2 linked regions of the Caenorhabditis elegans genome follow. The protein of the gene in region 1 interacts with the protein of each later gene in a pairwise test. Each region holds a gene or a part of one and is shown on either strand. Other genes may lie near its edges.

What was found. Proteins that work in one complex are often made in the same cells at the same time.
Region 2: the proteins of R01E6.5 (region 1) and Y61A9LA.3 interact in a two-hybrid assay, tested with the Caenorhabditis elegans proteins (one large-scale study listed by BioGRID).

What each region holds. Positions count from the first base shown.
Region 1 is NC_003284.9:13,535,084-13,539,405, reverse strand, and holds R01E6.5 (Histidine-rich glycoprotein-like), read right to left. Parts: upstream 2,348-4,322; 5' UTR 2,310-2,347; coding exon 2,284-2,309; intron 2,208-2,283; coding exon 1,792-2,207; intron 1,745-1,791; coding exon 1,449-1,744; 3' UTR 1,297-1,448; downstream 1-1,296. Other genes in the region: acr-12 (AcetylCholine Receptor), read right to left, coding at 3,094-3,291, 3,682-3,849, 3,897-4,034, 4,087-4,189.
Region 2 is NC_003283.11:4,569,000-4,574,651, reverse strand, and holds the start of Y61A9LA.3 (C2H2-type domain-containing protein), read right to left. Parts: upstream 3,518-5,652; 5' UTR 3,510-3,517; coding exon 3,451-3,509; intron 2,924-3,450; coding exon 2,695-2,923; intron 2,355-2,694; coding exon 2,264-2,354; intron 1,520-2,263; coding exon of another isoform or gene 728-1,519; intron 1-727. Other genes in the region: hpo-39 (uncharacterized protein), read left to right, coding at 728-1,519; sut-2 (Zinc finger CCCH domain-containing protein 14), read left to right, coding at 4,625-4,675, 4,737-5,053, 5,113-5,217.

The sequences.
Region 1 (4,322 bases):
AGGGATTTGATAAGAGTATTCCAAATGTAGAAATTATATGTTTAAGCCACCCAGCCCGTACATAATAAATGTTTTAAAAAATTGTTTCAACTTAGACTTGGCTTGATTTGATATGTTGAAATCAATTAATTGGTTATTAAAATAGTTGGGAGAAGCAAACTACATAATTGAACATCAAATTTTACTAAATTGCAAAACGAACTATTTGGTTTAATAGAATTCGAAGATTCTCTGATTCGTGTTTATTAAATGTATTGAGGTCGGAAACTTTTCAGAAACGTCAGTCTTTTATATAGTCCTACCAAAAGAGCAAAAATTGAGAGCTTCTTATTAAACTCCATAACTTTTGACAGTTTCTCTGATTGAAAAGTTATTTGCAGAACTGCTTGGATAAACTAATGTTTACTTTCGAACTTTATGAAATGTGAGAAAAATTTGACAAAATTTAGCAGATGGCTTTAGTTCCTTTTTATTCTGGAAGGCCCCTACAATGAAATATTTGGGGGAAAATAATTGAAGTCTATGTTAATGTTTCTGGAACAGGAACATTTCTGGAAATTGAGTTATGGAGAAAGTAAGACCATTTATTTGAATAAAATTGATAATTATAAAAATGTCATTTGTATATATTTCATCTGTTGTTTAACTTAGAAAAAATGTATAGCTGGTCTTTTGTTTTCTAGATGTCTAAAAATGTTTTAGAATGTTTGAAGTATTTGGTTTAAATTTCGAAAAATATAAAACTTTACGACAAAGGGGAATTTTTTAAAAGAATAATTCCAGATTTTGCCACACCGTACCTTGTGAGGTACTAGTTTTACTTTTGTACTTAACAATTCAGGCAACTAGGTCAACCACGGAATCCCGCCTCCCACGTTATTTCAGACAACCGTATCATAATGATATGTTTTAATTTATTATAACACCAGTGTTTAGTCACGTGGGAGCCAAGAAATTTATATTAGGCCATGTTGGTGCTCATCAGGTCTACAGGGGTTAATAGAAATGCTCTGAGCAGATCAAATTTTAAAAATAATTACAGAAGCCACTGTAAAAAAAAGAAATTGTAAGTTTATGAAAACTGAAAATTGTTTCAATCAAACTTAAAAAAGATAGCTGATAAAATTTGTTCGCGTTTTTATTCGAACATTTGTTCTTTTTACCACATACGTTTAACTACTTTTTCTAATTATTTCGGTACACTCATTATTATTGAAACTGGTTTTAACATTTTTTTTTTGAGAACTTTGTGTTTTAATTCTCATGTTTTATAATGCAATTCAGAAAACCGTTTTTTTTGATTTCCACTACAATTTTATTCCCGAAAAGATGAAAAGACAAGAAATTGAAAAATTTTCAAGACGGTGATAGAGCACAGTGTGCAATCATATCAAAATCTTAAAAGAAAACGAAATTAGAAAAGTTCAAAAACTGCTCCAGGCTGGTGCTCAGTAGTGTGGGGCCTCGTATCCGTAGTATTGGTCACCTTGGTATGGGCTTGAGTGTCTGGCGGATGGTTGGTAGTGGGATTGGTGTCCTCCGTAGTACTTTGGCTTCGGTTGGTAGTAAGATGGCTGGTAGCTTTCGGAGTCGTGTCCTTGTCCGTAGTTGTCGTATCCCTTGTTGTAGTATCCATCGGTGTGGTCTCCGTATTTGCCCTCGTTGTCGTCGTACTTGGATTTGTGTCCGGCGTCCTCGTTTCCGTAGTTGGTGTGGGAAGCTCCGTGCTTTTCTTGTGCCTTGTCTGAATACAAAACCATGCTCAAGTGTTTGTGAAAGATATAGTCTTACCGTATCCTTGGTGTCCGTCGGCGTGGTATCCTCCGTTGTCCTTGTGCTGTTGCCCGGCGTTGTGCTCATCTCCGGCATACTTGTTGGCGTGCTTCTCATCGGTATGGTACTGCTCCATGTGGTATTGTGGTTGAACGTAACGGTAGTCGAAGAATCCGAAAGTCTTGGTCTTCACATCCTTGTTGTAGTTCGAGGCATCATCGACGTACTTGTTACCGGATCCAGATTGGTGAGCCTCTTTGTTTTGCTTGTGCTCGGCAGCGTCCTTGTGAAGCGCGTCGTGGTCAGCGGCTTTTCCATCTTGAGAGTAGCCCTTTTCCTTCGCTTCATGCCCGGAATGTTCTGCCTTCTGGTGGAAGTTCTTTCCATGTTGGGACTCATCCCCATATCCGTATTTGCCGGACGCATTTTCATGGCTGGAATATTTTTTTTTGATACACGGATTGTTTTTTTCTAAGAATAAAATTGAAAATTGAAAAAAAAAGTGCTCACCTAGAATGGCTGATGGGGCTCGCCATGAGCGATGCAATAAGCAAAGAAGAGCAGATGAGTTGGGAAGTAGTGAACATTGTAGTTCTGGATGCCTTGGACGCCGGCACCCGCCGCTTTTATACTTGTCTCCGAGGTCGTATCTACTGCGATTTGTACTATTATTATTTAGTTTTTTCTCCGACCCATATCCTTTGTTTTTTGCATTGCTTTTCTCTCCCTCTTTTTCCTCGCCCCAACGCCTTCTGCACAGTCCGGTTTTCCTGGCATGTTCACTACAACCATCGAGTCTCCATTCTTCCCTCCCATCACTATTCTTCCTTGACGCACCGTTTTTTCCTTGCCCTATTGCTACTTTCTGGATTCATTGTATGTATTGCCCAAGTCACTTTTTTTGTTTGATTTGAGACATCTAATATTGTTCTTTTTTCTTTAGTTGATGAGGATGATGTTGTTGAAATTAGAAAAAAAAAACTAAATTTTGCTCAAATTTCCTGTTTGGCCAACTAGATCTATCGAAGCGGCAAGAAATATATTTTTAGATGGGGTACTTTTAGCACTTTGATTTTATTGAAGCAGACCCTCCTAGAAATACTTTTGTTTAAAACATCCGTATCATCGTTGTTTTTCTAACTTGTTTCTTGTTTTTTTCTAAAATAATATGAAAAAATAATTCATTTCTCTTCCATTCTGTATAATTCTGTTTAATAAAATGTATATGTATTGTTATTTGGAAAAAAGGTTAAGCTAAATTTATAATTGTAAAACAAAAACCGTATTATCAGTTGGTAAAACATATTCAATAAGTTTTGATCACTTCAAGTTCCATGAACTGTAAAAATTAGCTTGTCCTAACGGCTTGTTGGGCACAGTGATGTTCATCGGTTTAGAATAGTCGTATAGAGACGGTGACTCCAAAATTATAAAGACTGTTCCTACATTGAGCACTGAGAAAATGATAAGGAATAGCCGATCCAAGACCATTGCGACAAATGTCCAATCATCCGAAATCTGCAATAAAAATTCTTATCTAATTTTGATTCGCAGTAATGTTTCCATGACGCCACAGGTCCGCATTTTCCGGAAACAGAAAGTGCGAACCTTGGAAATAGATGTTTTAGTATTTTACGATCAAACTAACAAATAACTAAAGTCTACAGCAAAAAAAAGTTTTGAAAATTTGTATTTAAATTTGAACGGCTGTCGTGTGCTTTTATCGCTTTTAGAAAAACGTTACTTCGTTATTTCTCCTTAAACCTGGACATATAGCAAATATGCTTGACCTGAAATTTGTATTTCATTGTTTCTATCACTCATAACTTTTAAATGTTTTCTAATTGATTTTTGAACACATGGTATGTTTTGTTACAAAACAGAGTTTAAGTACAGCGCAATTCTCACCTCCCCTTCCAGTTCATTATGTCGGAAGTGCTCTGCAATGAACCTCACTTGATTCAGTAAGTTCATAAAAACCACATCATCAACCGATTTGCTTTTTTGTCGTTTGGTTTTCCTAAACGCCACCGTTGGCGCGTTATTATTTTGAGCACATAAATACGGCTTCAGTCTCTGAAAAATCAATACTTGTAGTTTTTAAGAAACCACTGTCTACTAACATTCTCCACCGTACTATCATTATTCCTCATCCTCATATCGAATGTGTTATTCAAAACAGCTTGTGAGCTTGGCTTCCCTCTTAAGCTCATCAAATCATTGTTCTTTCCTTTGGCCTTGTTGCGATACTCGTTAGCCGCCTGAATATTCAACGCCTTGTTTGACAAACAAATTTGATTGTATAGTTGTTACCTTCGCCGCTGTTGCATAGTTGGAGCCCACCAAACTTGCCGCATTCACTAGTGGTGGTTGTTTGGTCACTTCGCCTTTTTCGGGTCGCGACATCAGCAAGATTCTGAAGATTGATAAATTTCTATCGAAGACAAAACTATACACAGGTTTTTGTTGTTGGGTTTTTGAAATTATTTTTTGTGATGTTTTCAGGAAAAAGTCTATGTATTAAGTTATGAAAAATAAAAACGTACGGA
Region 2 (5,652 bases), on another chromosome or scaffold:
AAAATTATCTCGTTTTCAAAACATTTGAAAATGGCACTGCAACTTTTTCCTCACGAGGGACGAGGAAAAGTGGTTTCTAGGCCATGGCCGAGGGGCCGACAAGTTTCAGCGGCCATTTATCTTGCTTTGTTTTCCGCCTGTTTTCTTTCGTCTTTCACAGCTTTTTCCCGTTTTTTCTTATTAAAACTGATAACCAAATATTTTTTGCAGATGCCAAAACGATTTCCAAGTCAATAAAAAAAATGTATTCAGTGGGCAAGCAGCGGTGAAAGTGGTCAATGTAAAATGATGGATTACGGGAATACAAAACCTAAACTTTTTCTGAAACATGATACATATGATGCTTAGATGCTGAAATTACCTGATTTTCATAACGAGACCGCTGAAAAAGTTTTGAGGTTTTCAAAATTCAACTTTTTGTGCGAAAATCTCGACTTTTTCACCAAAAAAGTTGAATTGTGGAAACCTCAAAACTTTTTCAGCGGTCTCGTTATGAAAATCAGGTAGTTTCAGCATCTAAACAGCATATGTATAATGTTTCAGAAAAAGTTTAGGTTTTGTATTCCCGTAATCCATCATTTTACATTGACCACTTTCACCGCTGCTTGCCGACTGAATACATAATTTTTTGACTTGGAAATTGTTTTAGCATCTGCAAAAAATATTTGGTTTAATTACCCAAGTTTGAGTTTGAGGTACGCCGGTCAACTGCTGCAGGTCATTGGTCATGTCGGAACCACCTCCTCCTCATTCCGCCCCAGTGCCTATGGTGAAGACGGATTTCTTCGCTTTCTCTGGTCCTTATCTCCCGGAGGACGCTCACGGTACGAGTTCTCCGCCGGAGAAACAACAGCAAACCCGGAAGCGCGGTCGCCCGACCGCTCTTGAATTGCTCACTACCCGTGTTGAAGAATTGGAAAAGGAAAATTCGAGCTTGAGAACCTTCCGTACCGCCGCTGAAAGCAGATGTCGTGCCCTGGAGAGCAAACAATCGGAACTCTTCCAAACCGTCGAGCAGCTCAAGGTAGTTGTTGCCAAGCTCACGAACGAATGCTCTGCCCGTGTTACCTCCAATTTGCCCGCTCCACGCCTGTTCGCCGATGTTCTCAAGGGACAATCAGCCGAGAAGAAAGCAGAGATCATTGCAGAAAGACGTGAAGCAGCAGCCAGCATTTCCCTGTTTGAGAAGAAGACTCATTTCGCCGTGATTGAAAATCTACCGGATGATGGCTCGGATTCACAATCCGCCAAGGATAAGGTTTTTCTCGATAATTTAATTGCCGCTAATCCCTCCCTCCCTGTACATATTCAAACTTTCCGCGTCAAAACTCGCAAACCAGTCTTATCCCGCCCAACAAAAATTCGTTTCTCTTCTGAAGCCGACCGCAATTCGTTCATTTTCTCTTTCTCCAAAACTCTCCGTTCGTTGCCTGATCGCCCCACTAACCTTCCAAGACCCATCCGCTGCAGACGCGATATGACCAACGATGTTATCTATCCTGAGAGAGTTGAGAGCTGACGCTTATAACAGAAATACCCAAGCTGGCGAGATTCGTTATTATGTGCGCGACCTTAAGATTGTGACTCTCTCGTCACCGCGTCCACTTCCTATCTCTGTTGATTCGGCTGCTCCCGTTGCTAACGCATAGGTAAACGGCCACCGGGCTTTATTATCGTCTTGTCCGTCCATTGCTTCTCAAAGTGTGTCTTTCAAAGGTGTAATTTATCGTACGCGTCATACAGTAGCAGGCTTTCCCAATTTAATTTATTGTCTACCCACCATAGACGGGTTCTTCAAATCCTCCGAACCTTCCATAAAATTATTTCAAGCGAGTATCACTTCCCGTCCTTATCATCGTTCGTTCGAGCTTCACGCTCTACTCGTCACCCCTATCTACTTGTTGTCTGTGGCGTCCCGTCTAAATGTTTTCTACATGTTAACTTGTCGTTGTGGAACCGAATAGCAAAACGTTTCCCTAAACTGTTAACTCCAAATGCATTTGCGTCGCGCCTAGGCTCTATCCCATTTGACACCCTCTTCCCCCCAACTTGACCTCCCGGGCTATAGCTGGTCCAATTGGTCATTTTATTTATCTGTCCACACATCTTTTTTATTTTACTTTTTTTCTTTGTCTTCCGGTGTAGCTATTTCTTGTGGCAAATAAACAATTATTATTACTTTTCCGAATTTTTGAATCGCCATCACTTTTTTGAGAAATTTTCGGCAGTTTCGGGCCATTTTGGGTCCAGTCTAAAAACGTACCACTGATAACTTGAATTTCTGGAGATGCAGACCGACTTCTCGCGATTTCCATTTCTCCGCCAATGTGCTCAAAGTCTAGTCTCGGCTGAAACTATTTAATTCGTGAATTTTCATCAAAATCCGAAAAAAAAGTCTAAAAACCAGAAAAACCACATCGCAACCAATCAGCGATTCGCTCCGCCCATCCTTCAACCAATCAGATTGAGTGGGCGGAGTTCGAAGTCGTTGATTGGTCGGGGAATTCTCGTTTTGAAGTCAATTCTCAAAATGAGGATTCCCCGACTTCGAACTCCGCCCACTCCATCTGATTGGTTCAAAGATGGGCGGAGCGAATCGCTGATTGGTCGGGGAGTTTTGGAGGGAATTTCAGCGAAAATTGAGTTTTTAAGTTGGATTTTTTGAACTTTTCGACTCAAAATCGCGCTCCTTACATGTCTGAGCAACGGCTGTCTCCCTTCATTTCTTCCCATCGTCGTCAAATCCTCTCCAAACGGCCCCTTATCGAAACCACGTCTTCTCGAATTATCCACTACGGGTCCATTATAGGTGTCCACCACCGGCTGAAATCCGTGATACGGATCACTTCCTCCAAGAATTGCAGCTCTCATAGAAGGAACCGGCGGGCCAGGACGTCTATCGAAATCGCCACGTCTAGCATCACTGAAAAAATATAAAAAAATGAGTTTTATTTTTTTTTCCCGGAAAATCCGGATTTTTTCATCCTCAGAGGTGAGGTACCGAAATTTGAGACTTTGCTTTTTAGACCCAAAATGGTCCAAAACTACCGAATTTCGTAATGAGACGTTCTGAAAATATTTCAAAAAAAAAGTTATGACCGCTCGAAAATTTTGGAAAAAATGGCCAATTTTTAGCTAAAATCTCAAATTTTTTCCAACTTCTCGGTGTTGCAGCGGTTAGAACTTAATTATTATTTTTTTATCACTTTTTAATAAATATTGTGGTCTTTGATTAGGCGTTTATTCGTTGATTTAAGTACATTTATGGTCAGTGGGGCACAAAATTTAACTTTTATTTGTGCCCCACTGACCATAAATGTACTAATCAATGAATAAACGCCCAATCAAAGACCACAATATTTATTTAAAAGTGATAAAAAAAATAATAATTAAGTTCTAACCGCTGCGACACCGAGAAGTTGGAAAAAATTTGAAAAAAAAACGGCTCACATTGGAATATGCGGAGGAATTATCCGATTTGGAACATGTTCGTACGACGAATGTCGCATGTCTCTAGCTGGAAAAAAAAACCGGAAATTCGTGGACAAGAACGGATTTGAGGAGGAAAAACGAGGGGAGACGCAGACAGAAATGCACGCAGCCACAGAAAATCGATAGTTTTCCACGAAATCAGTCTAGAAATATTTGGAAAAAAATTATTTCAAGGATGGAAATTGCTGGTAAAACTGTGAAAGTGCTTCAAAAATCGATTGAAAATGAAAAAAAATCTAAATATTAAATTTCATTAAATTCTCTCAATTTCTAGTTGTTTTTGGTGATTAAATGAACAAAATATGCATTTTTTCGGCAAAAAAAATCCGAAAATCTGAAATTTTAAGCTCGAAAACCTAAGAAACTCTCTGAAAATCGATAAAAACAAGAAATCATAAATTTCAATCTATTTTCAGTTATTTTTGGTGATTAAATAAACCAAATACACATTTTTCCGGCAAAAAACCCTGAAATCCTCTGAAAATCGATTAAAACTTAAAAAAAAATGAAGCGTCCGTAAAAATAAAGAAAAATCATAAATTCCAGCGATTTTCTTAATTTCTAGTTATTTATAATGATTAATTGAACAAAATAGGCATTTTTCGACAAAAAACCCTTAAAATCTTCAATTTTAACACAGAAAACCTGAGAAATCCTCTGCAAATCGATTAAAAAACACAAAAACCTTTTATGCAAAAATCTGCATTTTGTCGTCACAGTGTGTGCATACTTTACACCGAATCTTACGACAAATAATTGTCGCTGCTGGCATTGTGAGAGAGAAAGGGATACACGTGATTTTCGTATAATTCCGATTCGTTTTCCCTGAATTTTTCTAATTAATTTATTGAATTATTTTAAATTATTGATTTTCTGTCAATTTTCACACAAAAATTGCCGCTGATTTATTCAAAGTGTCGGTTTTTATCCCGTTATTTGAATATTTTCGAAAAACCAGATTATTTGTGGTTTTAGTGATTTTTAGTGAACTTCCGGAAGTTTCTTGAGCCAATATAACTTTGAAATCAGTTTTTAAAGCTTACTATGACATTATTATCTTAAAAATTGGAACAAAAATTGTGATATTTAGCTTATTGATTTTTTTTTGGTTTTCAGATATAATCTGTTCGAAATGAATACTCAAACAGGGACAGGAACCTCAGAAGTGTCGAAAAAACTAAAGGTAACGTTAAATAAGTTAATAAATTTCAAAAATCGCAAAAATTAATAATTTTTTAATTCAGGCCGCGATTCGAGCCAAACTTGAAGAGCTCGGCGTCTACGTGGACGATGAATTACCCGATTATATTATGGTAATGATTGCGAATAAGAAGGAAAAAGTGCAGATGAAGGACGATCTCAACTTATTTATCGGAAAAAGCACTGCGAAATTCGTCGACTGGCTTTTTGATCTGTTCGATCGCCTACAAAACGCTTCGAACAAGCAAGGAGAGACTAGTAAAAAGGAGGAGGATAAGAGAAAAGAGCTGGAAGCAACAGCAGCAGCAAAGGAGCATGAAGAGAAACGAAGAAAAGAGAAGGAAGAGCATGAGAAAGAACTGTAAGTGCCGAGCGAAGGAATAAGAAATAATTAAAAATTGAAAATTTCAAAAATTCCAGGCAAAAAGAAAAAGAACGTGAGAAGGAGCGTCAACGAGAACGTGATCGTGAAAAGCGGGCCGAAGAGGAGAAGCGTCGTGAGGAGAAGAGAAAAGAGATTCAGAGGTAGTTTTCTGATAGAACACAGAATATTTCGGGATCACAAAATTCTGAGAATGCGTATTGCGCAGCATATTTGACGCGCAAAATATCTCGTAGCGAAAACTACAGTACTCTCTCTCTCTTTAAAGGAGGACTAACGGTTCGGACTCAAAATGAGCTCAATCACGCTCTCCTCAAAGCTGATTAATCATTAGAGCGCGCTCCGCCTCTATTTCTGTGCGACGCTGCTTTTTTTGTGCAAAATTCAAGAATTAAAGGTGGTGTATTCAAAATTTTTATTGTTTTATTAGACTTGAAATTGTCTCAAAACACCGAATTTCATAATGAAACTTCTTGAAAACTTCTCAAAAAAAGTTATGGCGGCTCAAAAAATGGACTAAATGTAGTTAAAATTTGAAATTTGACTTGTCAGCGGCTGGAAACTAATTTTTTTTTTGA